Linked DNA regions of Rhinolophus ferrumequinum. The protein of the gene in region 1 purifies or fractionates together with the protein of each later gene. This does not show direct contact. Links are inferred from orthologs where the notes say so. Each region holds a gene or a part of one and is shown in the gene's direction. Other genes may lie near its edges. The genes, in order: PPP1R10 and TOX4.

Region 1 (15,811 bases):
GGACAGTGGAGTGATGAAAGAGATTCTTGGGATGAGCGTGTTGGGTGCTAGCTTCTCAGATTGGTGGGAGCATTTATACCCATCCAGCCCTCAATCCCCTTCCTGAAGCCTACCAAAACTGCTCAGTGCCCCTTCTCACACTCACCGTGATCCCTGGCTTTCTGGATAGCCTGGGTCAACTTCTTGTGCTGATTCATACAGACTCCTGTGGGAAGAAAAAGGAAACTCAGTGCTCATTCTATAAGGCATAAATAAGGAATAAAACCTCTTCTCCATGGTGATGGAGGGCTGGGTTTGGAAGACCTGGCTCTATCCAATGACCCTATTCTCCTGACTCCTCCATGCGCTTGTCCCTCCATCTGCCCAATGAGAAGAATCCTCTCTCTCTCTGAGCTGGGATGAAAACTTAGGAGAGTCCAGCCACTATAGAAAAGCCATTTAATTGGAAAGGCTCCAAGGCAGGGAGCAGAACACAAGTCAAAGGGCAAGTGTGCTTAGTTAAAGGGTTGGGTAGGACAATTCAAAGAGAAAAATTCAATAAAGAAAATACTGCAGGTCTGGGGAAGCCAACCTCAGAGAGTACCAAAATAGTTTCTTCAGTTTTTTACAGTTTGACAGGAGTTCAAAACTCCTCTTTAAAACTCCCTGACAAACCGAACTCCACTAATCATGCTGCCATCCCCAAAACGGTAAGTCCAGATTATTCTTTACAAATTCATCTTGCTTTAGAGCAGGGGTTGGCAAAATTTTTCTGTATGGGGACATGTATTTTAGGCCTGGTGGGTCCTAGAGTGTCTGTCTCAGTTACTCAACTCTGCCGTTGTAGCCTGAAAGCAGTTGTAAACAATATGAAAACAGACATAGTGGGTCGCCAAATTTGGCCTGTGGCCGTGGTTAGGAATAGATTAATCTTGAACTGTTAAGCTTACAATTAATGGTCAATGGTATAAAAGAACTTATAGGATAGTCAATTTCTGAGAAAGCTTTTTGTAAAACTGAAGACACCCTAAAGAAATAAGCATCACTATTTATTTTTAAGAGCTACATTTAGATCATTTGCTTACAATGACACTCGTCTGTAAATTCTGTCTACATGTAACAGTTTTAGCATGTCAGTATCTCCATTAAGCCACGATTTCCAAAAGGCTCAAACACACTTTTTATGCTGGTGGCAGCCACCAAACAAATACCTATCGTCTGACTGAATAAACGAGAAGTGCTCCCAGGAAAAACTATTCTGATGGTGACAGGAGTGATGGGCTAACCTGTGTATGGCGCATGGAAGATGATACCCGTGTGGGCGCAGACAAACTGTTCCAAGAGCTTCACGTTCTGTGGCGGAAAGAGTGGAGAAATGAGAGAGAGAGGGGAAAGCACCAAGACCTTTAGAGACTGAATATGCACAATTCCTACAGACGACCCTAACCCGTCTCTCCAGATGCTACCCTCCTTCATGTCCCAGTTTTGGCCCCATCGCTTTACTGAACACATTCTTGAAAATTCCAGCAAATATTTCCCCTTTCCTGCCTTTCAACCATTTCACATGCGCATCTTACATTCAGAATTCTCTTCCGCAGGGGTTAGGTTCTAAAATCAGCCCTCATGCAAAAAAATTGGGGACTGTCAGGTGGCAATCCCTGAAATCACCCAGAAAATGTAGTATACGTTACAGTGTGCGTATATGAATGATTAAGGTATGTAACAGCATGCTGTGTATAATATATATATTTACTCAGATCAATTTCAGTTTTAATTATATAGACTGATTCTACAGCTGCAAATTAACCACAGGAAGTGAGACCCAAGGAAAAAGCAGGTATACTTGTAGAGTAGAATGGCAGGCAGAATCATCTGCACTATGAAATTTGTAATCTTTTCTCTCTTCCTTGTTATGTCATTATAAACTGTATGAAATTGGTTACAACTGGAGCGGCCGGGTGGCTCAGTTGATTAGAGCACAGCGCTCACAACACCAATGTTGCCAGTTCGATCTCCACGTGGGCCAGTGAGCTGCGCCCTCCACAATTAGATTGAAAAACAACGACATGACTGGGAGCTGATGGGTCCTGGAAAAACATACTGTTCCCCAATAAAAATTTAAAAAGAAAAAAAAAATGGTTAGAATCCCTTTTTATTAACCAATTGCACACAGCTGAAATTGAGAAGTCACCCACTGGACTCCTCCACAACTTGTGTCAGATGGGGCCTGAGAACAGTCAGACACCCTCCTCCGCTGACTGATACATAAATGCCCTCCAGCTTCACTGATGACCAGCCATTTAGCTTCTGATCTAATACCTTCACTGCAAGCTCAGTTTTAAGAAGTTTTTGAATTTTTTAAGGAGCAAGTCTTGTCCTTCTCACAATGAAGGCTTTTTGAAAAAATAACTAGACTCTATACTGTGCTTCATGTATCTGCCCTCCAGCTGCAAGTCTCAGAATGCCACCAAACATCAACATGACAAGGAAATAAAGAAAACTTCAGAAAAAAACTAACCCAACCTACTTGCTAATAATTGTGATGGATATACATAAAGTTTGGGCATTGCTGTCCCATCAGAAATAGGATTTTTTTGCCTCCCAATTTAGACTATAAATTTCACAGATAAGGGATGAAGTTTTTCACTATAATCCATAGAAGGCAAAAGGCTGGAGGGAGGGATGTTTTTATAGTGCCAGAAAGCCAGTACAAAATGGTCTGTAGGGGTGCCGGGATATGAAGAGTGGGGCACCCCTGGAAATTTGTATAACATTACAAAGAAGCTTTAAATTCTTATCCTGGAAAAAAGATTCTCCTTACCCTAAAGTCGATGTGCAGCTTGTGATCCCGGCAGATAGGGCAGGGATTCCCAGCAACTTTATTTTTACGCTGCAGAGAGAAGAAACTGGCAGGTGAAGATGTTCCAAGCCCTGTCAGAAAAAGTGCTGCTGCCACTGTCACTATGGTCTCCACCCCGACTTTACATCCCATCCATGTGCCACCCTCAGAAACTCACAATACATGTCTTTCGAGTCCGCTGTGGGGGTATTCCACCTTTGTGGTTGCGACGGTAGTCAGCCCAGACGGGGCGAGAACCGTAGCGGGTCTGGTATTCTGAAATTTAGGACCACACCGGTAAGAATGCAGCAGGTATCTCTGCCCATTTATTTCAGACCCCACATGACCCTCCGCTTCACCACTTAAGAGGTACCTTCTGAGTCCAGATATTTCCAGGGTTCATTTTTATAAGGGGAAATGGGAACCGGGGGTAAAGAATTTTCCTCAGGGGAGACGTCAGTGCAAAGAGTCTGGAGAGGAACCTGTAAAAGTAGGGCAAAAATTAAAAAATGAATTCAAGGAAGGACTCGATTATTTTGCTGCTGACACTTCAGGGAGAAGGGGTGTGCACACCCTTAGTGTTAATGGAATATAGCAGGGATATATATGGAAGGTAGCATTTTTGTTGGGCCATTTTTGTTGTGAGATCAACAACAACCATTCTCCCTATCTCAATGCTGAAAGAGAAGATAATGTTAGAAAATAACTAGGATAGGTGACCGAGATGCAATCTTACTTGAGAGGACAACTTAAAAACACGGCACATATAAGATAGTCATGCTTTTGGAGTCAAATTGAGTCCAGTGGAGGGAAAAGGGTGAAGAAAGAAAAAAGGAGGATGTCTCGCTTCTTGGAAGTGTGTGGCAGGGAAAGCATACATAGGACAAGTGAGTCTCCAACTCAATCCAATCCAGAATCAGAGCTGCCCAGTTTTATACAAAGTTGAAGGTCAACATTCCATAGGGAAGAACAAGCTGAGTCCTAATGCTAGCTTTAAAGCTACCAGACCTGTCATTAAAGCCGTGGTGACCCATCACCACTCTTCAGTCCCACTTTAGGGAGTGGAGCTGGGCAATCCTTCCTATCTCACCCTGCCCCACCAAGAACCTGCCCTGCCCTACCAAGAACCTCCAGGGTGGTGAGTACATGAGGCTGAAGGGAAACCTCAATCCAAAGGGCTGAGTTAAATTCTCATGTATGCTCTCATAATAAAGTGATTTAGTGACATAGACGGCTGAGGAACCTGTATCAGGTCCAGAGAATGTATCCCGGCTTCACTGGGAGATAGTAGGGCTGATAGAAAATGGTGTCCCTGAGCTCAAGGACACTGCAGGGCATCACAGATTTAGACACCATCTGCATAGTTAAAGAGTTGGCTGTGCATGACCGAGGGAGAGGGGGTTCCACTCCTTCACTTAGTTATTTAGCCGACACGATAAATTGGGAAGAGGATGACTCTAACCCTGTCTCTTTGCCCTCGGCTCGGGATTTTAAAAATGCACGGAGATTTGAGCACGGTGAGGGGAAAGGGTGACTGGTGGTAACGAAGTGTTGCCTAGACACCCGAGGAAAAAATCCTTAAGAAAGTCTCCGCTCCTGGATTCCCAGGAGTGGAGCGACAACCTAAAAAACACATAACTAAATTAGGGTTGTACAAAATGTGCTCCAAGGAGTTACCTGAACTCCGTAGGCACCTCTGAAGGACCAAACGCTAGGAAGGCGCCTCAGCAGCGTAGTCACTACGGAGGCCGCCATCTTGACATACGTCCGAAGGTGGAACGACCGGAAAAGTGACTGCGCATGCTCCGAGAAACTGACTAGGGTAGGACCAAGGAGGAGCCTACAATGCGGGAGGCAGCCACGCACTTGCGTCAGGACGGAAGCGAGAAAGGGGGTCATGTGGAGAAGCCAATTTCAACTGCGTCACAATCAAATTCGGCCTCCAAATTGAATTTTTGCTCTACCAGTCACTACGATCCTTAGATCTCATACTTAGAGTTTGCGTTTTAAACAATTTTGAAGGCGATTTTGACCGAGATCCTACTACTGCGCATGCGCATACCTGGTTCTACCAACCCAAGCTGAGAAATGTTCTTGAGGACGGAAGTGGCGGAAACAGAGGAAAAGGCGGTGCTAGGCTGTCAGGTCACGCGCACGCGGCCCCCACACCTTCCCCCAGGAAGGAGGAGGAAAAAGGTCCCAGGGGTGGCGGGGAGGGGAGGGTGGGCTGAGCGAAGGCGAAGGAAGGATAGCCAATCAGCTAGCGAGTTGTCTTTCGGGTTGACCAATAAATTCACGCCTCGCGCACAATGTCTCGCGACAAGGGAATTACACTAGCACGTTTGGGCGCGTTGGGCGGCGTCCCGGTATAAAATACTCCACCGGACCGGGCATCCGCCATTCTGGGGTTCGTTTAGAGGTAAGTTTCGGTAATTTGTCGGTTAGAGGGTGAAATTTTATTGAGAGGTTTGACTGGAAAACGGGTTAGGCATGGATTTATTTGGGAGCCATGACTTATATAAAGCGGCTGTGTTCGGCATTGGACGTGGAGGTGTTTGGGACAACAAAGATGGTAGTTTTGGGGTGTTTAAAGCCAACCCGTACTGATTACATCTTTCTCCCTTGTGTTCCTTTTATCCCAGGTTTGAGTTTTCTCGGAGAAAGACAGGCCGGCCACGAGGACAAAAGAAACAAGCCGCAGCAACATCTAAGCCCCTGAAAGGATCCTGAGAGAGGGGGGAAAGGGAAAACAGCAGCCACCAGCCCAACCACTTGTGTCTTCTGCCCCTTCCCACCTATCTTGCCCACCCCACCAGCCCACGCTGCTTGGGACTTGAAATCTGTGGCCGAAGGACCGTCACCACATAACTTCAAAAATAATCAACCACCCTCCCTTCCCAAACCCACCCAAACTCACTTATCCAGCGTTTACTTTTTTGAATCCACTCAGAACTTTTTTTCTGCGACCCCCCCCTCCCTAAATGGAGTTGGGTGGGGGGGAAATGAATACTGAGTTGGCCTTTATTTTTTTAAGAGACTTTTTGATCCAATGAGGCCCCTCAAATAAGAGTTTTGGGTCCTGGTTGGTTGGTTTATTTTTTTCTCAAATTTTAACCCCCTCCCCCCTGAGCCCGAGGTGCTGACGTCGCAAAAAAATTGGATAGTAAGTGTCGAATTTTCAAAAACGAGCCTTGCAACAAGAAATCAACGTTTCCCTTTGTGAAACCAAAAATAATGAGAGGAAGAAATGAGACCATAGAACAAAATAGAGAACTGGAGAAAGGACCAAGCCGGTCACTTAATCTCCATTAAAAAGGGCCTTTGGGTCTAAACAGTCTTGTACTCTTCTACCACCTACCTCTCCCCTGCCTGCTGAAGGCAAGGAGAGGGTGGAGGGAGAGCCAGAAAGTGAGGATTTTGATGGTTAACCCTTGGTAATCCAGCCAATTTCCAGACTGCCAAAGCCATAGTGTTTGCTTTTTATAAGGGGGAATGGTTACTTTCCTCCCGTTTAGCAGTCTTCAAAAGGGTTAATGAGCTCACATACAAAAGACGGTGGATCTCATGGCCCAGAAGTCCCACTTCTTTGTGTGTGAGACAAACAGGGCGCCTTTCAATTTGCCAGATTAATGAGCAATCTGTACATAAAGATTGCAGGGTAAGGAGATGGGCAGAGAGAAATAGCTGGCTATGACTTTTAAGATGATTGTTAAATCCTCTCAATTTTTATGTAATATGCTTGGGGTATATTTGTGTGGTTAAAATAGGCGGCAATCTAGGAATAAAGATTGCAAGACACTTAATTCAGGGCAAAATATAATCCTAGTGCCAGTACATACAAGATAATAGTTGGGGAAGTAAATGTTTTGTAATTGTTGCAGTTTGCATAGGCTATTTAAAAGCAAAAGGTTAACATTTTAACTTGATACTTTTTGAGGGGGGTGGAATTCAGTTAAGTAGAGGGTGGAAAGGTTGGGAAATGTGAAATTCAGGAGTATAATTTAAAAGCCATTTAGTGCAATTGAATGCTAGCTTTAAAAAATTTGTGTCGTTAAAAGGAATTTTTTTTTTCCCTGCTTCAATATGGCGACTTTCCTTGTCCTTTGTCTTCCAAGCGGTTTTGCAGGTTGTGTCTCCCATTTTTCTCTTGTCCTATCTCAACCCTATTTGTTGAGAGGGGTCCAAGTCCTCCCCCTTTGCCTTTATAGGGAGGATGGGGGTGGTCGATGGTAGGTTGAACCTTAATTGCAAATTCAATTCTTCCCCGCAGAAAATTGTTATTTTTAATATTTTAATTGCTTTTATTTTCACAACGCTCTTACTCAAAATAGCTCAGAGACTTAAGGATGGGGGGACTGGTTTTCGTTCGTTCTTTTTTTTTTTTTTTTTTAAACTAAGGGTGTTTTTTCATGTAATTAGCTACCGGCAGAGCTGGAATAGCTTTTTAAAGTTTTCTCCATTACAAAATGGCGTCCCTGCTTCTTTGTTTTTCTTCTTTTGCCGTCCAGAGCATAGGGCCGCCCTAGAAACTTGGTCAAGGGGGAGGAGCAGCACTGAAAGGTGATGTAATCAGCTTTCTTGTCTCTCCACCCTCTTTGAAACTCCACCCCTGAGCAAATGCCTCCTGGACTCCTGTGCACGCAGCCAGGAAAAGACATTTTCCTTATAATTTTACCTTTTATAGCCTTTATTTTAAAAGGGAAAAAGCCTACAGGAATGAGGTCTTCAAGCTGTACATCTCCTTGGGCAGCTCTAGTTTGTATATTTAACAGGCTGTTGCTTTTATTTTCATCTTTCACTCATCACAACTGCTTGCTTGGAAGTTTTCCCTGCTTCAGTTGCTAGGGGTCGAAAACCAGTTAAACCAACTATACCTTTAAGACGGAAGCTTTTGGGGGTAGTGTGTGTGAGCTTGTGTGTATATATGTGTGTTGGGGGATACTGGGGAAAGACAAGGGCTTGTGAAGGTAACTTGAGACAAATGGGGCCTAATAACACTGAAATGTGCCATTTCTGCTCAGGAACCAGTCCTTGGGCGTCCTGCATTTGGTCACCTTGTATGGGGCGGGGGAAGGTGGGTATTTGAGGAATTTCTTCTAAGTCACCCTTATTCCCGCCTTAAGGTTTGGGGGTAAACTCTTTGTGTTCAGTGCTGTATCACGTTCTCCAGTTGCTTAGCTCCTGTACATTGGTGCTAGGATGAGAAGTGAATCTTTAGGAAAGGAGGCTGCAGTTGTAAACTCAAGGCAGGGGGAATCAAGCTACGGTTTCTGGTAAGCAAAACCTTTCTGGTATTACATTTCACAACCTTCATTTCTTTTTTCCCAAGAGCCACCTTTTTTTGAATTTCTTTTTCCTTACCTTCCAAAAGGAATTCCTTAAAAACATTAATGGGAGAATGTCTTCATTTCTCAATTCATGCAGTGCTATGGCAATTGGTGCATGTTCGAAAGCCATGCCCTGTCTGAGAGTGGAATTGGGTATCCTGTCCCTTTCTTTCCTCCTCCAACTTTTTCAAAGTCAAATCTGTCTGACTCTCCATATATTTTTCATTTTTTTAAAGTCCTACTTTGAAGCGTGGAGGTTCTAGGCAGAATGGGGGAGTCTTTTTGTACAGTGGCCCTGTGGTGACTTGGGTGAGACTTCAGGGCTAATTTTCTACTGGGTATGGATTCTCAAATTACTAATCTGGATTGGATGGGAGGGACACTTCCACATGTCTACTGATGACAAGTTTTTTTATCTTTTAAGCAGTTTGCCCTGTGCCTCTGCAGCATACCTTCCTTGGGAGCTGAACATTCTGCCCACTGGGGTTCCTGATCTCTAGTGAGCAGGGGATTAATAAAGAAGATGTTCCATAACATGGGAGATGGGGAAAAAAAAAGTCTTCTAGGGAAACCAAATACATCCAGAAAACCTCGGAGAACCTGATCTTGTAGTTTTCGGCCAGTGTTCTATTCTGGGATCCTTTCCTATTGGGATGGGGTTGGAGGGAGCGGGGGTTTGAGTTTTACAAATAAGCTTTTGGGGAGATCATGTACCAAGTTTTAAAAATGACTGAGGGATAGGGGCTTACTACTTAGAAGAGGTACAACCTTATGAATCACCTGAGACATAATTCAGTCTGCTATTGAGTCGTATGAGGAAATGCCTGAAACACAGGAAAGGAAGCGGAATGTAAGGAGTTGGGTATGAAACATTTTCATTTCCCCAAGTGCTGAGGTCTCCAAGTTAAAGGGGAACTGACTCCTTCCTCCTTGATTAGAGGAGTATTTTGAAAAGGGCTCTGACTTGGTGTAGAATTTTTGTCCTGAACCAATCCAGTTCTGTTTTATTGGTGATAGGTATGGAACAACTTCAGCCAAACTAAGTATTTTTCACCCTATTTAATTGATCAACGCTCAAGTAAAATTCATTTTGGAGGCAGGAGTCAGTGCCGCTTGTGGACTTTAAAATTTGATCTCTGGTAAGAATAGGAGAAAACTGGCCAGTGCCTGTGTCAGCCACTAGGGCGGGTCTGCCTGCAGCATCCTCCGTGAGGAACACAGTGCAGGATGTGGTGGAGTCAGGCCAGGGATTGCTCCTGTCTCTCCTGTATGTTCTACATTCAAGGGAATTAAAATATATCATGCCCTGGATTGTTTTTGGCTCCAGAAAGCTTCCTCAGGCTTCCAGGCCAGGCGCCATGTGTGACTAGGTGATGTTCTGACACTTGGCCACTCGTTCTTCCTGGTTAACTCACTCGCCTTCTCTCCTGGAGGCCTGTGCCAAGGATTTAGGCTCATTCCTTTCCACTTGAGTGCCTTGGGACTTCTTTCAAAATGTACTGACTTCGAAGGAAGGAAATCAGGTTGTCAAGACACTTGGGGACTTTAAAATGAGTCAAAGCTAATCTCCCTGTAGGAAAGCCATCATGAGAACCCACTTAACATTTTGATCACATGACTGGTGCTCATGAGATAAACTTAGTTTTGTTTATTTTCAAAATTATATAGGAAAAGAATAGTGGAAAATGAATAACATTTTCTACTGCTTTGTCTCGTAGCTTCTCTTCACTATTCTGGCTTGTTACGAATGGGAATGAACAAGTCCCTGGTCCCATTCCCAGCAGAAGGCACTAGACAACTTAGCTTTATAGTAATTTGTCTCTCCTCCACCCTCTTAAATGAAGGAACATTTGAGCTCAGGTGATAATTTTTTGAGTTTCTGAAGGAAGTAGGGGTGGCAGGCCTGTTGACTTAGCTGGTAGTTGGGTATATAAATAGGAGTTCTCCAAAGTGATGTATATTCAATTCTGGGTTTAAATCAGTGGAGTTAGCTGTATTTAGGGGGGCTGTTTTGAAGTGATGTTAGTTTAATGGAAGGCTTTTTGTCAAGTTGTATATTACCTTGTTTGCTAATATGTATTTGGATTCGTTCATTTTTCAGTCTTCAATAGATGGGAAATCTGTTCTATATATCTTTATCGTTTCTCTCTCTTTATAGTGTTTATATATGATAGTGTCTTACTACATGGGAAAAATTCCTTTATCCCTGTGTCTATTTCTGTATAACAATCACCAGTTCAGTGGATTTGGCCCTAGGGGCTTCTAGTCTTGCCTGGTATTCTATCTACAGTGTTTTCCTCTCTGACTTCAGGTTCTGCCTGTCCTGGGGCTCTTCCAGGGCAGCAGTCACCGCACAGTTAAACCAGATCTGCGCACTTCTCTGCATTTCTTAGCTCATCTCCTCCCTTTATTCAGCTTCAAGAACAAGCCTCCTTGCTGCTTCTGCCTTTTCTTGCCTGAGTTGTTAGGACCTACTGATTTAGAAATTAACTTACCTTTTTGTTGGGAGGACTAAAAGGCCGAAATTGTTAACAGTTGTTCGTTTTTTGGTTTGAGAACAAATAGAATTAATAATTTCTTATAAAAAACCTGTTCTCTTTTCTGCACAAAATATAGTCACCTTTGTAAAACGCTGATTTTCCCACTGTTCTGCTCGTGTATAGTGTCTGTTAACTTCCAGAAGCAGGATGCAGGGTTTTCTCCTTGCCCCCTTCCTACCAACCCAGTGTTAACCTTATTTCCCAAATGCAGATACTACTGAGGTGGAATTCTCTTTTGGTTCTCAGAAGCCGGTGTTTAGAGGCATGGTGGATAAAAATACCAATCCGAACTATGTTGATTCTTAATTACATTTCTGGAACTTGGGTTCTGGCCTAGAAATTGCTTCATACTGTCCCATAACAGCAGTTTAACTTTTAATTAACTCCTTTTCTAACCTTGTCTAAAGTAGCTACTTAAAATTTAATGGCATTTTTCCAGCTTCTAGCTTTATTCTTTTTGGCTCCATGGTTTCTAATTTCAGGCTTTTCTTGGGGATCTTGGATGGTGCTATGATTTGGGGGGCGCGGGGGATTAGGGGGCCAGAGTTGCATCCTTGCTTTTGAAACCACAAACCAATCTTGCCCTTAACTTTGAAACAATAAAAACTTACGCAGTGTTTGGTTAGTGAGTGGTACTCTATTCAAGGCTTAGAAGGACCTGCTTGACTTCTTTGCATCCATTTGTCTCCGTTTCTGGGAGCTACCCACACCTCCCCTGGGGAGAGATTCTTTTTTCAAATTTTGTTTCTTCTCTGTCACCTGCACTTTAGTTGATTGTCTACTGGTGTAGGCAGAACATATCCTGCCACTTGTAATTATGACTCTTAATGGGCTAAGATAAAAAGGAATGACTAATCTTAGAAGACATTTAGCCCAAGCACCCAAGATTGGCCCAGGTCTTACAAGTTGGTTTTGTTTTGTTTTTCAAATGATATTTACCAGCAAGGAAGCGACAGGACTTAACAATAAGCAAAAATGCCTTGGAGAGTTGAGCATTTTCTTACAGGAGTGTAAATCTTAATTTTAATACAATCTAAGGAAGTTCAGCTGTCCTAGGAAGGTTGTAATTGGGAGCGGGAGAGAGGTGCTGCTCCAGTCCTCCACCTGAATTGTTTTTCCATTCAGTCATGAGGAACACCATGCTTAATTGGCCAGGGCTATTTTCTCAGTGGTGACAATGGTCTGTGTTGGTTTTTCTTGAAAATGGTGAGTGTAGTTGAATATAGATTGAATAATTAGTCACTATATTTTGTCAAATGTAGAAGTAGAATTTATTAGAAGGCATACTGGGACTCTCCTTGCCACCCATTTATTCTGTGGGTTTGTTTTGTCCTTTTAGAAACCTCGATCATGGGTTCAGGTCCCATAGACCCCAAAGAGCTTCTCAAGGGCCTGGATAGCTTCCTTAACCGAGATGGGGAAGTCAAGAGTGTGGATGGGATTTCCAAGATCTTCAGGTGAGTCCACCCTTTTTTGGATTCCTTGTGAGAAGAGGATGTTATATGTTGTGATATGGCTGTAATCAAGGCAGACAGGACCGAGTGTTCCTGGAGAGGAAGGGGAAAATCAGTAAAGGAATAGGATTCAAATCCAATAATTTTAGAATAAGTGGTAGGAAAAGATGATCCCTTGGTTCCTTGCCATAATGGATGTAGATATTTGGATAGCCACAGTCTCAAGGGAGTCACCTTTAGGAAGGAAGGAAGCGTGGAGTCACGTGACCACATTCTTTGTTGTGTTTTGGGTCACGTTCGACATACCGAAACTCATTTTCCTTCCAGGATGCTGAAGTTTCCCAGGGGAAGCAAATGACTAAGCCAGTCCTGAACAGGGTACTAAGGGTTGGTTGTTGAGGGCTAGGGCTCCCCACCTGGAATTAGAATCAAATGTGTCCTGTGTATTCAAAGCAGTGATGCTCACCTCCCCAGATCAGAGACTTCAGTGTCTCCTCAGTTCTCCGTCTTCCTGTGGGTTTCCATTTCACTCTGATTCCATCCCATCCTCCTGGAGGCCCAGGTGACCCTCCCACTGTGGAGCAAAGTCCCAAGTCATCAGGGACCTCCAGGCAGTCCCGCAGATGGAGACTCTGCTGCTGACAGAGGCAGTCTGGTGCTCTCTTGTAACCTAACCTCTCCCCTACAGTCTGATGAAGGAAGCACGAAAGATGGTGAGTCGATGCACTTACTTGAACATTCTCCTGCAGACCCGTTCACCAGAAATACTGGTCAAGTAAGTGGGAATCGGGGTGGCTGGGATGGGAAGACGTAGTTAGAAGGTGGGGAAGGGGAGGCAGGGGATTCCTGGGTTGTTGATGGGGAACTGAGAGTGGGATGTGGTATTTCTAAAACATAGGAGGACATTACATATTCTCCTCCTGCCTGCCTACAGGTTTATTGACGTTGGTGGCTACAAACTTCTTAACAATTGGTTGACGTATTCAAAGACAACCAACAACATTCCCCTTTTGCAGCAAATTCTCCTGACCCTGCAGCATCTACCACTCACTGTGGACCATCTCAAGCAGGTACCTTCAGTCTTTACCATCCAAGTGCGTCCTTTTTGGTGTAGTGTAACATGAAAAACTCACATTGCCTGACCGGACAGTGATCTTAGCCCGTGGGGGAGTATGGTAGGAAAAATAGGAATTTGGAATAAGAAGACTTGGTACAAATCTATCTCCTTTAATAGGCATGTGGTTCGAGGCACTTCATATATCTGAGCCCCAGTTGTTTTCGTCTATAAAATGGGAATAATTGTACCTACCTAACTGGATTGTTCTAAAGATTAAGTAAGACTGTATCTACAAAGGTTTTGTGAAGGGGAAAGTACAATGTTAGTGTTAGTTGCTGTTAAAGGTCTATTAAGAGTCTGTGAGTGAGTTTGGGGGGTTGTGAGCTCCGAGTGGACTTCTTGTCCTTCTGGCATTTACCTTCCTGCTGCTCCTTGTCTCTCCTAGAACAATACAGCCAAACTGGTGAAGCAACTGAGCAAGTCGAGTGAGGATGAAGGTAGGGGCCAGTCCTTCCTCTCTGTCCTGGGCCTGCCTCCATCACTTCCACTTAGCTTCCTTTGTTTCTCTCCCCATCCTGGGATTGTACCTTCCTTTCTCTTCCTACCTCCCTTTGCTTTTCTTTTTCTTTTAAAAATGTACTTCCTCTAACCTGTCCCCTCTCTCCTACTCTCAATTCCGAATGGGATTTGTCCATTTCTCTGCTCATGAGCGTAAGACAAGGTCCCATACTTTAACTAGAAGCTGATTCTTAAGATCTCTTGGTGTAAAAGTCAGACACTTAAAATTCTTTGGGGGAAATAGTGTCATCCTAGAGTGTCTCATCATCACTGACTTCCTTTTTTCTGAATAAACACCGTATATTCTGGGACCTGCGATGTCTACTCTGCTAATAACAGAGGTACTAGTCCTACTAATAGATGCCTTCCTGAAGGGCCTAGCAGAGTCCGACTCCTGGAGTGTATCATAGCTTTGATAGCAACAGATTCTTCCCTTTTCTAGGACGAAGGGTTTCAGACCTCCTGGCGAAGGCCAGACAGTTCTGCCTTGAAGGTAGAGCCTGGCTCCTGAAATCACAACCTTTTCTTTAGAGCAGAAAAGGGTTTGTACCCAAGGGTTTGTATCCAAAGATATAAATCAGGAGCACAAGACACTAGTGTCCAGCAGGTGAACAGTATTGTGGTAAAGCTTGATCCCCTCGTCAGAGTTCAGGTTTGCTCTTTTCGTAAGGGAATGGTATGCTAGGTCCTTTGGGAAAGAGGCTTCGGCCGTTTGGTGTAGATGGAGCATCTAGGCCTGGGTGAGCCTATCTGAAGGTCCATTAGCTGTAGGAGAAAACAATGGGAACACTTCCTGAGATACAATATTGTTTAAGTGAAAAACATTCCTGGACTTCCCATTCCTTTGTTGTATTAATGCCAAGTTTTTAGGTCCTTTTTGATACAGAGCACTTCACTATTTTTGCGACATGTCAGCGTATCTTTAACATAATATAACGTGTAACACAGAAGAGCCCATTAAATCATTGCCCATCTTTTGTTTCTTCACTGTCAGGTTGATTTTTCCCTGTTTTCCAGCTGGCTCAGTTATGCTGCCTTCTTTGAATATAGATTTAATTATTACTCTGTACTTCCTTTAGATGCTGAAATTTGTACATTCCTTATTGACTGTAGTAAAGTCTCACTGGACCATGGTATCTATTGCTCCAAAAAGGTTTTAGGGTATCCCTGCATTGGGGATGCATTGGGGCTCATGTTGCCTTAGATACAGAAATTGCCAGTTGTGTGACTTTTTAAAAGTTAGATTTTCATGTTTTACAACAATCTGTTATTAAATGAGTCTGTAAGTGGCGAGAGGCGCCAAAGGTAAGAGATGTCATTTGCCAAGTACAAAAGGAAAGAGCTACAAAGTTACTTTTTTTCATATATTTAGAAACAAATTTTACTCTCTACCTTTAAATTCTCTGATCTTTTTTCTCTCGATAAACTCTGCTACCGTAACTTAGTCTGTTTTTAAGCTCTCTTTTCATCTTTTCTACATTCAATTGATTTTTTAAAAGCCATCCCTAGTAGCATTCTAGGGAAAAAAGTGCCTAGGAAATCTTTTTTAAGATGGCTCTAAATCTGCTTCCTTGAAACTTGCGTTAAATTTGCCTTTAGGACAACACAGAATAATACATTTTCTTTTAAAATCTAATTTTAGTTTCTGTTCTTTTAACATGTGGTTAGGGGAAGAGCAGGGGTGCTGGGTTCGTTCTGCCCTTTCTAGCTTTGGTAACTCTAATCTCTGTGCTTGTGTGTCTGTGAAGGAAGATTAAAATCCTTGGGTTATTGTAACAATGACATGAGATGTATATGAAGCAACAGGTGTAGATTTACAGCGTACTCTGTAATGTTCAAACATCTCTATTTTCTGTTACTGGGAGAATAACATTTTAAATTATATGGGGATTTCCTCTTTCTCTCACCTGCAGAACTCCGGAAATTGGCCTCAGTCCTCGTCAGCGACTGGATGGCTGTCATCCGCTCCCAGAGCAGTACCCAGCCTGCTGGTAAGCTCCCAAGTCCCAGCCCTTGGATTTCTCTTTCCCTCTGGGGCAAAAAAATGTGGCCTTCAG
Region 2 (15,144 bases), on another chromosome or scaffold:
GTCTCCTAGCAAAGAAAAACTGGACAAATATATGGTGATGGAAGGAGAACTGACTCTGGGTGGTGAACACACAATGGGATTTAGAAATGATGTAACACAGAATTGTACACCTGAAATCTATGTAATTTTACTAACAATTGTCACCCCAATATATTTAAAAAAAAAAAGAAAGAAAGAAAAACTGGAAACAGGACTAGAAACTCAGAGTATGTTGTACTGTCAATCCAAACATGATGTTGAACACATGAAATTAACATTAATTTTCTGTTTCTATTCCTTTATCTGTAAAAAAGAAAATTATCTTAGAATGCCAATATCCCGTCCAATGGAAATTTCATTTTAATGGATCAATGTAGAAAATTAGTCAGATACCAAGCACTTAAATTGTGCATATGCTAATTGACCTTTAGTGTTCCACTAACAAAAGCAGGACTACCAAAATGTTCCTTTGCTGAGATCTTGTCATGGCAAATAGGAATAAAGAACAGGGAAAGAAGCCCAGGGCCCAGGACAGAGTGTTCCTTAAAAAAATCCAACTGTTCACATTCTAATCTCATTTCCAGCTGGGGTCAAGATACTAAGTTTTTCTCATAACTGAGCGATTTATTAATGCCCCCACATACTGGGTACTTTTGCTTTCCTGATGGAATAGGTTTGTTTTTTTTTTCCCTTAGAGGAAGCAAAAACATCTTTTAAATAATAATATGAATACCCTGGGCATTGAATCTACCCTATTAAGAAAGTTTTCACATTCTTGAAATCACTTATCCTTATATCCCCACATAAAGGTAGGGAAGGAAGACTATTGTTCATATTTTAAAGATGGGAAAACTAAAATGTAGACATGGGAAAATTAATGGCTTTCTTATAGTATAATAACAATAATAGTGCTGATACTAACAATAACACAAAGGGGAAAATGAGGCTCAAAGCGATAAGTTCAGTAACTAGCCAAAAGTTATAAAGTCAATAAATGTCGAATACATAACTTAAACTTAGGATCCTAGTACTTCCTAGCACAGATGTTTGTTCCCTTAGCCATTACATCATATACTCTAAACCCGGATTTGAAGGTGAGAAGAGAATTCCAGTACACTAATTCTAAGGTTCCCTTTCCCACAACAAAAGAATCATACAAATGTTTTGTTGAGTAGCATACCAGTTAAAACATGAGAATCCAAAAATAATTCTAAAGAATTTGTTGGTAATATTAGTAATGCTTTAAGATATAACACATACTTTTTCCCTCCCAAGAACTCAAAGTTTTATTTATTGACTAATCGTTTTATGTCGTAAATTAATTCCTGTTTTGCTTTTATCTGTTACTGACTTTTTTCCCTCTCCTGCTACTGTTGAAAGACCCTCTTTCCCTGTGGCCCACTAGGATCTAAAAGAGAAAGCTTAAGGGAGGCCCACGTGATGGTTGAATCACATGGCAGCATTTAATTTTAGCAGCTGAAAATACTGCCAGTGGGTCATCAGAAAATGACTTTTAAAATCAAATCACTTCACTTCTTCATCTCAGTCCAGTTCATAAACCAAAGTTTGTGAGCCAATATGCTAGAAAGAGTGAGCAGTTCAATTTGGGCTGCTCTGCATCAGTCTGAGGTACGTTTGTCCAACCCCAGGAAAAAAATCTGAAGCAGCAAAGACTAAGATGGAGGTTTGATAAAGAGAATTAACAGTTTTCTATTTTCTCTCAAGTGGAAGCATCATATTATAGTTTTAAGATATGTAGTTGGAAGTATCAATTCCTACAGAGTCAGATATGCTTATTTCCTAAGAATCAAAATGCATTCCAAAGTAAAATACAAATGAATTTGGGATTATTTAATCACTATTTTATATTAGCTATGGTACAATGCCTCTTCATTTAGCATGGTTATTTGGGCAACTATACATACAGAATGAAGAAAGAGAAAAAGAAGTAACATGGCTCTATAAATCCTTCTCAATAACCAGAACAGTGACAACAAAAAACTGGATAACTTGATCTCTTTAAAAATACCCTTCATGGTAATCCTGAAACATCTGCATGTAGGATGGCTTTGGAAGTGAAGAAATGGAGTCAACGAAGTGGGAACCCAAGGGGGCTAAACAATGCACAGGGGATCAGGGATGATAAGGGAGAAACGTCTGGCTTACATGGAGAGTGTAAGGAGACAGATACATTATAGGTAGGAATCTCTTAAAAATTTCAAAATAAATAGAAAAACCCAGTATTCTGAAATCTGATTTTTTTAAATTACTCAACAAAGATTAGTCCAATCTCAAAGCAATTACTAAAAGGAAGTAGAAAAGAACCAGGCCAGTTGCATCTCAAGTGACTATCAGGCCATATGATTCTTGAGGATCATGTCAGCAGAGCAGTGGCTCTCAACTTTCTTATTTTATGGTCCATCATGTTTCATATTACCACTTAAGGGGAAAAAAGTCAGCAAGCCAACACTCAGACACTCTATGACCACGACCATACCTCTAACTGGCAGCTACTATGTCTCCTGGCGTCAAAAGATACAGTTTTGGAAATGACAGAGGTTTAAGTTAAGAAGGCAGAATCTAGCTAATACCAGTCTTGACACTCACAGGCTTCACTCTTTGTCACCTCCTCAGAATTTGTCCTGTGGCCTTCTTAGGGGGCCAAATATATCTTTGTGGGAAATACAAAAACCAGGGGATAATAAAAAAGGAGTTGCAAAACTTACTTGGATTAATAATGACAAAAAAAACCTTGGACCCCAGCAATAAAAGGAGAAGGAAATAAGTGGCAGCTGTTTAAGAAATATATGAACTTAACTTTGGCAACAGATATAGAGTAATACCATTTAGGCTTTATTGGGAGGAGAAAGCTAGAGACAAAACTGGCCAAAAGAAGCAAGTTTGGAAGTTTTAGAGTTATCTGGTTAATGCTACTACTATCAGGGCTGTGAAGTGACTCACCTTCCTATAATTAGGGCAAGCCAATACGGTTAAAATGAAAAATCTGATCAGAAGGGCAAAAGATTATTAAAATGCTTGCAAATACAACCAACAAATGCACAGGAGAATATCATGCCAGTTAAAAGCAGCTGCTCAATCAGTGCATCCAAAAGTGGTAATGAGGCAAACAGAAAAGGACTCTGTGCAAAAAGGGTCTAGAGCACCAAGTAACTACTTTTAAGACAGACACCTGCATGTATTGGGGAACGTCGGGTAGGTAGAGGGGAAAGAGAGGTAAAAAAGAAAAAAAAATCACTTGTGAACTGCTTGTAGATGTAAGGGCTTCAGCTCTCAGTTCTGAGAAGAAACAGAATCAAATACTATGAATTAATCAAAAACAGGAAGAGATTTTAGCTGAATAGTAGGAATATGTGCTACCTCCCTTGAACTTGAAATAGAGACTGAACATTATTTTTCTTAAAGAAAACAAAAGTACAAACCAAATTGAGATAATGCACAGGAAAACAATTTATGTGGATAAAGCAAAATTACATTAAGTCAAACTAAATTTTGGCAGTACTACATTTGTCAAATTTTAAAATATGCATAACCTTGACCCAGAATTTCCATTTCTGGGCAGGCAGTCCACAGAAATCCTCAAGTATCTGCATAAAGATGTAATAAATGAGAATGATCAATGAAACTTTGCAGTGGTGAAAAATTGGAAACCGAAATTTCCATCAATGGGAGGATTGTTAAATAAATTATGGAACAGACATTCTATGATCCTATGCAGTGATTTTTAAAAATGAGGTAGAATGGAATTACCTTATGACCCAGCAATTCCACTGTTGGGTATCTATCCAGAGAAATCCAAAACACTAATTTGAAAAAATATATGCACCCCTATGTTTATTGCAGTGTTAGTCAAAATAGCCAAGACATGGAAACAACCGAAATGCCCATCAGTAGATGACTGGATAAAGAAACTATGGTACATTTATACAATGGCCATAAACAACAATGAAATCTTACCAATTGCTAAGACATGGATGGACCTAGAGAATATTATGTGAAATAAGTCACATGGAGAAAGACAAATAACATATGATTTCACTTACATGCGGAATCTAAAGAACAGAATAAATGAACAAACAAAATGGAAATGGACTCAGAGATATAAGAGAAAAACAAACAAACTGATGGTTGCTAGATGGGAGGGGGTGGGGATGGGAGAGAAGGTAAAGGAATTAGGAAGTACAAATTAGTAGACATGTTTTAGTAGACATTCGTAGACATGTAGTAGACAATATTGCCATGGGGATATGAAAGACAGTTTGGGAAATACAATCAATAATGTTGTAAAATTTTGTATGGTGTCAGATGGGCACTTCTCTTATTAGGAAGACCGCTTCATGGACTGGGTAGACGCCTGACCACTGTACTGTACACCTGAGGCTGAAGCCGAATAATACTGAATGTCAACTATAAATAAATAAATAAACGTGTGTGTGTGTGTGTGTGTGTGTGTGTGTGTGTGTAGCCACAAGATGCTGAGTACAGCATAGGGAATACAGTCAATGGAATTGTAACAGCAATACACGATGTCAGAGGGATGTTAGACTGGGGGAGGTTATCACTTTGTGAGGGGTATAAATATTTAACTATTACATTGTTTTGCACACCTAAAACTAATTTAAAAAGAAATAAAATAAGGTGACTTTAAAATTTTAAAAAATTGAAAAAAGAAATAAGGTAGATTTGTATGTACTGACATGGGAAAGTCTACAAAACATAAAGATCGCTAAAAAAAAAATACCTTAGTCACAAAGCTAGGTCTGTTTTGCCACAATTCTAAAAACTAATAAAAGCAAAACCACTACCATATATTTGTTTCTATTTATGTATCTAAATACAGAGAAAAAGTCTGAATCAATGATAGTGGGTTACTCTGGTAACGCAGAAACCAAGATTGGGAGGGAGAGAGGTTTATGTGTGCAAAGGGGAATTTAACCTTTTACTCTATACACTTATATTGGTTGCTTTTATTTTTTACTAGAACAGACTCATATATTACGTAGGTAATTTAAAACAAAAATTTAAAACTATGACATTCATATCTGTAACTGTAACAGAGGAAAATGAAAGCTTCCCTATATCTTCGACTTTACTCTTCCCCTACTCTGATCTCCACCATTAGCTCCCATCCTCATAGCCCTTTCCCCTCCATCAGACTTTAGTGTTGTATTTGGATCTGGTCAGGGAGTAAATGATTTTGTCCTCTCTCACCGTATCCCAGATTTGCAGTTTGATTTGTTTTCCATCAATGTTGACCATACGGGCCCCAAACTCCACACCTGTCAGTGAAGATCAAGAGAAAAAATGTGGTTGTCATGAACAGCCATGTTGAGTGAGAAGTTCATGCTATTTTTCAATGTGCTAGTGACTCGTCCTCTGTCTGCACTCAGTGCCACTATTTGAGCCAATTAGTTTTTTGTTTCTTGAAGTTTCATTTCTTTTCTAGAATTAAAAACTGTGTTCTAGGTGATAATGACTTCAAGAATGTAACCAAAAAGCAGATATGGGGATAAAATGAATTAAGAAGTCAAACAGAAAAGGTGAGTAAATTTTTAGCAATGTTAATTAACGCTTAATTTGATTAGATAATGTTTAATTTTGTAACTTTTTAAAAAACTTCTAAAATTTTAAAAAATATTTCCTAGCATTTTTCTCAAAGTCACTCTCTACTCCTCTATATGGAACAATATTTTTTTGCAATTCTAGATTTTTTGAGAAAAGAGCCTACCTAAGAAATAAGTTCTCAAAAATAATATATTTCAGATCTCCAATAATTCCCAGAGTTCATCAGAAAACAGCCTTCCTCATAGGAGTATGGAAACTGACAATCTCAATAAAGACTTTGGTTTACCTGGCATTCATCTTCTTTCAAGGTAAGATCAGGACAAAAATTAAAAATCAAAGGTCACTTATATTAAAAACACTTGATCATATGTCAGACAATTTGTTCTATTTCCTATTTTTTATACAGTACTTTACTTGAGGAATTCTGATTTCCAAGTAAGAAAGAGGACTAATCTAGCTTCTTATAATGGGCTGATATGCACCTATTCAGTGGTCCCACATACAATGCATCAAAATATCACCCTCAACTCTAAGGTGCTCAAGTCAATATGATATAAAGAAAAAATGTTTCTTACTACTCTAGACTGCTTCATCAAGAATAGTGATAGCTACTGCAAAAAGTCACTATTTTTTTTCCCTTCTGGACAATAGGAATGGAATTTCAATGGGGAAGAATTGAAAAATAAAACTTTGTATCCTTTTATGCAACTTTCTCTAGTTATGCACTCAGAGACCCTTCATTTTGCACATATTTTCTATCCAACTGCCTTGTTTATTTTGGTACAAAGGATTGACTTCAGAAAGAAACAGCACATTTTGGACTCTGGGGAAAACTTGATCACGTCATTCCTCCGCTTTAAAACTTGTCATTTACTCCTATTGCCTTCAGGTGTCTCAAAACTTAGTCTCTATTTTATTTTCTAGCTTTATTTTTTGTCATTCTCCACTTCAAATTTCATGCTCCAAACGTGTCAAATTACTTACAGTTTTCCAAAGGCAGCCTGATCTCTGTCATTCATAAGCTTCTGCATATGTTATTCTTTCCTGCCCTGATCACTTTTCCCTCATCTCTATATCCCCTTTGCCTGGCTAAGTCCTGCTCATTCTTCAGTTTTCAGCCTTTCCTGATAAAGGCATCCTCTCCTCCCTTTTTGCAATAAAAATTTACTTGTCAGTACACTATATCTACCCCCAGCCCCACCTGCTACACGGGAAGACTGTAAGCTACTTAAGGGCAAGCGCAATGTTTGCCTTTTTACACACTGTATCATTAGTTTATCACAGTGTGGGTGTCCACTTAACATTCATTTCCAAAAAAATATTTTCCTGTTGATGCTACCCTCTAAATTATTTTCAACCTTTAGTTGTTTGGCTCTGAATAAGTCCTGTGGGAGCAGCAGTAGCTTCAGATTTCAGTAAGGTGGGACTGTAGATGGTAAGAATCTACAATATGGTAAGAATGGGAGCTAGGGATTTTATTCAGAAACTGTGTTTGCATGGCAAGGAGGCTAGTTTTATATGCATTCTTTATTTCGGTTGAGGTTATGGATATTATGGGGCAGGGGTTGCTAAAGCCCCATCAGGCCATGCCTTATCACAAATACGTAGGAAATGTTTATACTTTCCAGAATCTCCTGGAACTCTATCACACTTTTTAACAAAAGTTATTAGTTTCAGCTACCTTTTAAGTCTAGGATGACTCTTGAATTTTCTTCTTCCTCTCCAACACACACAAAAATCTGTATATTGGTAATTACTTAACATACACACACGCGCACACACACACACACACACAAACACACACACGTGAGGCTAGCACTAATTTACCGCAAAGTAAGGTGAGTTTTTGAATTAGTTAGCTTTCGTAGGATTTTCCAAACATTCAAATTGCATTTGGAAAAACAAAAAGAACTTATTCATACCTCATGCTCATCTCTAAAGTTACTTTTCAATTATTTGCTCCCCATTACACTACTCCCCATTTACAGCATTTGATTGGTCACTCTTCATTTAACACAACTTCGGACTATTTTATAAGTAGGCGGAGCTAACTTTTTACTTTGAACCCTGAAGGCTGCTAACTTTTCACTTTAGCTAGTCATGTTTCATTATCTGTTCAGGCACAGGTAGATGCACTTACCTATTGTGAGGTCGTGAACAGGCTGGAACCGCTTGTCTGTAAACTGCAGGAGGAGACATGACTTCCCCACACCTTAAAGAGGAGGACGCACGCTCAAGGAGTCACGCCGCCCGGGAGCGGTCCCGAGTCGGGGTGTCCGGCACTGGGGAAGGGGAGCCCCGAGCCCCGCCCCCGGCCGCCCTGCCCCCGCCCCCTCTTCACCTAATCGCCCAGCCCACTGAGCCCCGCCCCCACGACCCGAATTGGGAACTTCGAATCCCCGCCCCAGCTATCAGGGCAGTCGCCCGCTGTTTACCTGTGTCCCCGATGATGATGTACTTGAAGAGATAAGCATAAGTCATGGTCCCGTTTCCTCTGGATTCCGGGTCCGCCCGACTTCTACAGCCACTTACCTCCGGCCTGTCTAGCCACTCAATCCGCCGATCTCCAGCCCCTCTAGCCCAGATCACATCTCTATTGCTCTCCCCAGAAATCCTCTCCTGGTCGGAGCGACGGTAATACCCAGACACCGATTCCAGGGTCGCCTGTAACACTCTTATGTGCCATTATCCCACCAAGCTCCAGGGGGCGATAGCTAGCCTTTCCGTCCTTTCGGCCTTCCCGGGTCTGACTCGTAACAGCCCTACCGCGCCCCTTCCAATCAGCGAAGAGCGACGCATGTCCTTGCGGAAGTGACGGCAGTTCCGAGTCTTGTGGGGGCGGTGGGAGCGATGAGGGGACTGAGACGGTGATAGCCGTTGTGTGAAAATGGAGGTAGGAACCTGAGCGCTAAGAAGGCTGACAAGAGAGTGCGACCGACCGGGTTGAAGCAGAGGCGGGAAGCTGGGCGGAGAGGCGGCTGACAGGACGGGAGAGAGCGGGATTTGGGGAGTGTTGTCAGAATGTCGGGGTCAGAATCCGTCGCTACAAGCTAACTCCCTGCTCCCCCTAACTTATCCCCGCGGCTTTCTTTTGGTTTCCAGTTTCCCGGAGGAAATGACAATTACCTGACGATCACAGGGCCCTCGCACCCCTTCCTGTCAGGGGCCGAGGTGAGCACGAGGTGCCGATGCTGGGGGCGGGGGGGAGGGCGAGAGGCAGTGGTGGGGTAGGGCGGTGGGGAGGAGAGGGCGCCAGGGACCGGGGGATGGGAACCAGGGGCCGCGATTGGTGTTTAGAGAAAAGTGGCAGCTGCTTCTAGAGCCTATGAGGACTAAGGGGTAGACCCAGGAAGCTGCTGTCATCAGAAAAGCAGGACGTTGGAAAGCGCTAGCGTATTTCAGAGTGATTCTGGATTTGAAGACTGAATGGAATTGTCTTTCTCTTTACGTTGGGGAGAAATAACTACGACAATCTTGGGGGATTGAAGGAGGAGGAGAATATTTTAGGTAAAGAAATTGGGATGAGAGGAGTTTACCCAGCAGGGGTTAACTGTGAGCATTGTTCATTCTTGAACCAAACTTTGTTAGGGGTCTTTGTTTCATATTAATTTTCTACTCAGTGATAAAAAAAAAGTTAATAGTTATGTTAACGTACATGGTGTTAGCTTGTTTTGCTAGTGAAGGATGAAAGGAAATACGTAGTTGCCAGAAAACATGAAGGAAGTAGAACATGTGTTTCTGTTTGCCAGTGACTCATTGTGGGGAGGTTAGGTCACCTTTGTATGTCAGTTTCCCCAGCTGTCAAATAGCTGTAATAATAGTTTCTTACGATGTTGTGAGGTAGAAGTGATGATTATGGTGAGGTCCTTTCAGTATTTGTAGAAAAGTTTTGTTGAAATAATTGTCATAATATAGATATGTGTCATTTACTTAGGCAAGGCAAAGAGAAAGATGGAATAGACAAGAATAAATTTCCTGTTCTTTGAGAAACTCTGAAATCTTGAGCTTTCTACTGTCTTTTGAGGACTTTAATTTTTTTTTCCCCAAAAGTGGTGTGACCCATTTGCATCAGTTTTTTTTTTTTTTCGTACCAAGAATTCTCAATTGCTGTTGAATGGGCTTATCCTGTAATAAATCCTAACGTTTTCATGAATGAGAATTAAATCGACATGGGGCAATTGCTAGTTTTTAACTTCTTTATTGCTATTATTATTATTTAACTAAGCAGAGGAAAGTGTGAATCAAATGAGCAGCAAATTTAGAAACGATATAAAACTAAAATCTGTCTGATGCTTTGTAGTCTCATTGCCAGTTTCTTCTGAGTGATAGCTCCATGATTTAATTTCATTATTAGGAGTATTGTAAATCTCACATTGGCCATATCCACATGAAAAGTCCATCATTGCCAATTTCTTCTAAATCAGGTATCCAGAATTTAAATTCTTTATTTAGAGTGTTTGTAAATTTCACCTTGGCCTCATCAAGAAATTTTCCAGGTTTGAGTCTATCCTTTGTTTTTGCTTTTGTGACTTTGAGCAATTTTAAAAAACAAAACTATTTTGCCAAGCTCATAACTAAATTTCAGTGGCTTCTTTTAGCCTAGGACTCTGTCATTGTTAACAGTTCTCCTCATTACAATTTCTTCACCTTCCCTTCCCGGTTTTTGGTGTTTTTTTTTTAACCTTTATTTTAATTGGTTTGTGGGTTTTGTTGTATCTGGTCTTACTGTAAGCCGCATAGAACTAGGTAAAGGTAATATTTTAAAATTTTTCTTTTAGAAGAAGAGTGATTTTTAGAGTTTTCTTGCAAGAAAAAGATGTCCACAAAAGTATTGACCTTAAAAAAATTGAAAAATGGGATTTCTTTTAAATTAGTAGTTTCTTTTCATTGAAAGATATCATTAAGAAATTAAAAAGGCACTCCACAGACTGCAAGAAGATAGTTTAATACATGTATCTAACTTATATTTAGAATATATCAAACACTTCTGCACAATAAAAGAAAGAATCCAATTTAAAAATGGGCACAAGAAATTTTTTTTTGGTTAATGTTAGGGATTTATTTATTGAATACTTTCGAAGTGCTGAATTCTTTGCAATGTCATGATGGGAGGCAGTGCACAGTGATGGAAAGACCTCTGTTCAAATCCTATCTCTGTTATTAACTTTTTTTTTTGCCACCACTAGAGTTTTTCTTTTTTTAGTTAGAGCTACATATAATATTATATGTTTCAGGTGTACAACATAGTGATTACACATTTATATAACTTATGAAGTGATCACCCTGATAAGTCTTAGTAAGGACAAAAGATTTGAACACGTACTTCATAAAAGAGGTTATCCAGATTGCCATTAGGCATATGAGAAAGTGTCATCACTCACTAGGGAAATAAAATAATGAGATACCATTGCACAGCCACCAGAATGGTTAAAATTAAAAATACTGACAATCCCACGAGTTGAAAAGGATGTTGGATAAGTCTTAATCATTGCTGGTGAGAGTATAAATTGATTTCAACCACTTTTGAAAACTGGCAGTATCTACTAAAGATAAACATATCTAGGGGTGGTTGGTTAGCTCAGTTGGTTAGAGCGTGGTACTAATAACACCAAGGTTACCGGTTTGACCCCCGCATGGGCCATTGTGAGCTGCGCCCTCCTTATAAAAAAGAAAATGATAAACATATCTACCCTGTGACCCAGTAATTCCACTCCTTGACATATATATATACACACACACACACACACACACACACACACACACATATAAATATAATGAATGTATATATTCACCAAAAATATGTGTATTCACAGCAACTTTATTCATAGTAGCCAAGCACTGGAAACAACCCAGATATCTAGGAATACTACACAGCAATAAAAAAGAATGAACTACTAATAAATGCAACTTGGGTGATCTCAAAAATATATTGTTGAATAACAGAAGCCAGACATAAAAGTAGACACTATCTGAGTTCATTTTTTAGTGAAGATGAGGAATATGAAAACACTAGAGGGCGGCCGGATGGCTCAGTTGGTTAGAGCTCGAGCGGGATGGTGGGCTGCGCCCCCTGCAATTAAGATTGAAAACAGCGACTGGACTTGGAGCTGAGCTGCGCCCTCCACAACTAGATTGAAGGACAACAACTTGAGTTGGAGCTCATGGGCCCTGGAAAAAAACACTGTTCCCCAATAAAAAAAATTAAAAAATTAAAAATATATATATACAACACTAAACAAACAAGTATTAGCGAGTATGTAGAGAAAAGCATTCTCTACATACATTAGAGAATTATTATTGGTGGGATTGAAAATTGGTGCAGCCACTACGCAAAATACTATGGAGTTTCCTCAAAAAAATTAAAAATAGAACTACCTTATGACCCAGCATTTCCCTCCTGGGTATTTATCCAGGAAATCCAAAACACTAATTTGAAATGATATATGCACCCCTATGTTTACTGCACACTACTCACAATAGCCAAGATGTGGAAACAACCTAAATGTCCATCAATAGATGAGTGGATAGAGAAATTGTGGTATATTTATACAATGGAATCTTACTCTGTCATAAAAAGAATGAAATCTTACCATTTGCAACAACATGGTTGGACCTAGAGAGTATTATGCTAAGTGAAATAAGTCACAGAGAAAGACAAATACCATATGATCTCACTTATAAGTGGAATCTAAAGAACAATAAACAACCAACTAAAACAGAAATAGACTCAGAGATAGAATAAACTGATGGTTGCTAGATAGGAGCGGGGTGGGGGGTCGGTGAGAAAGGTGAAAGGATAGGAAGTACAAATTGGTAGATACAAAATAGTCATGGGATGTGAAATACAGTATGGGGAATATAGTCAGTAGTAGTATAAAAACTAGAGTGTCGAATGGGTACTAGACTTATTAGGGGGATCACTTCATAAATTATATCAACGTCTAACCACTACGCTGTACACCTGAATCTAATATAAAATAATATTGAATGTCAACTATAATTTTAAAAAATATATAGTTACGCTATGTAAAGTACAGCATAGGAAATATAGTCAATGGTACTGTAACAGCTATGTACGATGTCAGAGGGGTAGTAGACTTAGAGGGGATTATCATTTTGTGAGGGGTGTAAATGTCTAATCACTACAAGTATGTTGTTTTGTACACCTGAAACTAATAATTTTTTAAAAGACCTTTAAAAAAAGAATATACAATGCTAAACTATGGTGATAGAAATTAAAATAGTGGTATCTGTTCCAGAAGGGAAGGAGTATTGACCAGGAAGGAGTAGGAGAAAAGTCTTTTAGAGTGATGGAAATGTCCTGTACCTTAGATCTAGGTTGTAATTAACTGGATGTTTATATATGTTAAAAATTCATTGAGCTATACACTTAAAATTTGTATACATAAGTTATACCTCAATAAAATAAGAAATAATAATTTTCAAAGTGTAGGTGTCCAGAGAGGCAGGCTTAGCATTTGTTACAGCATTGCTTGAAATAGGGAAGCTGGATAATTTGAAGGGAGTTTAATCTTTCTGTTTCATTCATCTTGACTTTTATATAATGATACTGTGCTTTGAGCACTTTGGGGAAATAATACTCCTATCCTTAAATAGAAAAAGTATTTATAACATTAGAAGCAAGTAATGATTTCAGGCTGAATTATTAAAAATTTCACTACTATGTCTTTAAGAGCACTTATTATTATTATTTTATTGGGGAACAGTGTGTTTCTCCAGGGCCCATCAGTTTCAAGTTGTCATCTGTCAATCTAGTTGTGGAGGGCACAGCTCACTGGCCCATGTGGGAATCGAACCAGCAACGCTGTTGTTCAGAGCTCGGGCTCTAACCAACTGAGCCATCCGGCTGCCCCAAGAGCAATTATTTTAATAACCCACAATACCAGCGTACTGTTGAATAAATAGGTGTTGGATTAGAACAAATTTTAAAATGAATAATCTACACAAGAAACTATTTAAAGAAATATTGGAATGTGTGTTTTGATATGGGGCAATGTGAAATAGGAGGGAAATAGAATTTTTTATTTTTTTTATTTTATTTATTTTTTTTAGATTTTATTGGGGAAGGGGAACAGGACTTTATTGGGGAACAGTGTGTACTTCCAGGACTTTTTTCCAAGTCAAGTTGTTGTCCTTTCAACCTTAGTTGTGGAGGGTGCCTTTCAGCTTCAAGTTATTGTCCTTTTAGTCTTAGTTGTGGAGGGCACAGCTCAACCCCAGGTCCAGTTGCCGTTGCTAGTTGCAGAGGGCACAGCCCACCATCCCTTGCGGGAGTCGAACCGGCAACCTTGTGGTTGAGAGGATGTGCTCCAACCAACAACTGAGACATCCGGGAGGCAGCTCAGCTCAAGGTGCCATGTTCAATCTTAGTTGCAGGGGGCGCTGCCCACCATCCCTTGTGGGAATCGAGGAATTGAACTGGCAACCTTGTGGTTGAGAGCCCACTGGCCCATGTGGGAATCGAACTGGCAGCCTTCGGAGTTAGGAGCATGGAGCTCTAACCGCCTGAGCCACCGGGCCGGCCCGATTTTTTTATTTTTTGGTTCTCTCAATATGTAAGCACCTTTGTTTATAAACTGTAATTTCCGAATTGCTTCCTCCCCCGAAAAGGCCCAGGAATTTAGCAGAGAAGGAAAAAGCTGAGTGAGAAGGTAGCTACATCATGTTTCTGTGTTCTTCTGTGTCCACATCATTTCTTTTTACTTTAATATTTGCTACAGTTTTGTTTTATATTTGACAGTCTAGGATATGATCTAGTAGTAGATGTGCTAAAATAAAATAACTTCCGATAATCCTACAGATCATTTGTGATTTTAAACGAGATTTAGAATCAGTGTCTGTTTATTCTAGCATGTGCTTTGCCCTTCTGTATTCTTAACTCTTTCACTGCGTTGATTTCGTTTTTTTTTCCAAAATGTGTCAAAAAGCCACAAAAAATAGAAAGTTGATATTTTGACTATTTTATGCATTTGATAACATTTTGAGCTGCTTTGTACATAAATGACATGATTTTTATTTTATTTTAAACCTTTGTTATATGGTAATAAATTTACCATTATATTGAATTTTAGCAAAAAATACTCAAAACATATTAAGTGGTATCAATTAGATTTAAGTATAGGTAAATTAGAATCTAATGACATTGATGATATAAAAAAATTTACTTCAAAATGTTACATAGTATGGCATACAAAACATCTTTGTTGTTGATAGTGCAAGCCACAGGAAAACAGATCCGAATGTCGCAGCAAATTAATCATTGTCATTATTTTACTCTTCTTTAAGGAAGAAACAAACAAATAACCCAAATATCCGCCCCCAAAAATACCATTAAAGCCATGGATACTGAATAACAAAGCTGTTTCCAGGGGGTGGTGCACAGAAAGAATGCCTTGTTGATTCCATACAATGGAATCTCTGCATGTCTCGTTTTCTCAGTTTAGTCAATGAGGGCACTGCAGATGGTTTGTGAGGGGTAGTCCTTTGTAGAACACTGGTCTTTTGTTTTGGATATGAATTTTTATTCTTTTTCAGATCTAATTAACAAATAGTATCATTTTC

Evidence for each region.
Region 2: the proteins of PPP1R10 (region 1) and TOX4 purify together in Homo sapiens (affinity purification with mass spectrometry; 3 studies listed by BioGRID and IntAct, counting the BioPlex papers as one, with this or other methods). This does not show direct contact. The link is inferred for Rhinolophus ferrumequinum from reciprocal best matches to the Homo sapiens genes PPP1R10 and TOX4.

The regions. Positions count from the first base shown.
Region 1 is NC_046286.1:1,235,179-1,250,989, reverse strand, and holds the start of PPP1R10 (serine/threonine-protein phosphatase 1 regulatory subunit 10), read left to right. Parts: upstream 1-5,126; 5' UTR 5,127-5,237; intron 5,238-5,460; 5' UTR 5,461-5,981; intron 5,982-8,072; exon of another isoform or gene 8,073-8,091; intron 8,092-12,024; 5' UTR 12,025-12,035; coding exon 12,036-12,142; intron 12,143-12,827; coding exon 12,828-12,914; intron 12,915-13,073; coding exon 13,074-13,209; intron 13,210-13,641; coding exon 13,642-13,693; intron 13,694-15,667; coding exon 15,668-15,745; intron 15,746-15,811. Other genes in the region: MRPS18B (28S ribosomal protein S18b, mitochondrial), read right to left, coding at 146-205, 1,266-1,332, 2,801-2,869, 2,997-3,094, 3,192-3,300, 4,496-4,573.
Region 2 is NC_046289.1:72,276,346-72,291,489, forward strand, and holds the start of TOX4 (TOX high mobility group box family member 4), read left to right. Parts: upstream 1-8,358; 5' UTR 8,359-8,449; coding exon 8,450-8,455; intron 8,456-8,664; coding exon 8,665-8,733; intron 8,734-9,051; exon of another isoform or gene 9,052-9,069; intron 9,070-15,144. Other genes in the region: RAB2B (ras-related protein Rab-2B), read right to left, coding at 5,209-5,276, 7,703-7,774, 7,998-8,043. UniProt on the Homo sapiens protein: Transcription factor that modulates cell fate reprogramming from the somatic state to the pluripotent and neuronal fate. In liver, controls the expression of hormone-regulated gluconeogenic genes such as G6PC1 and PCK1.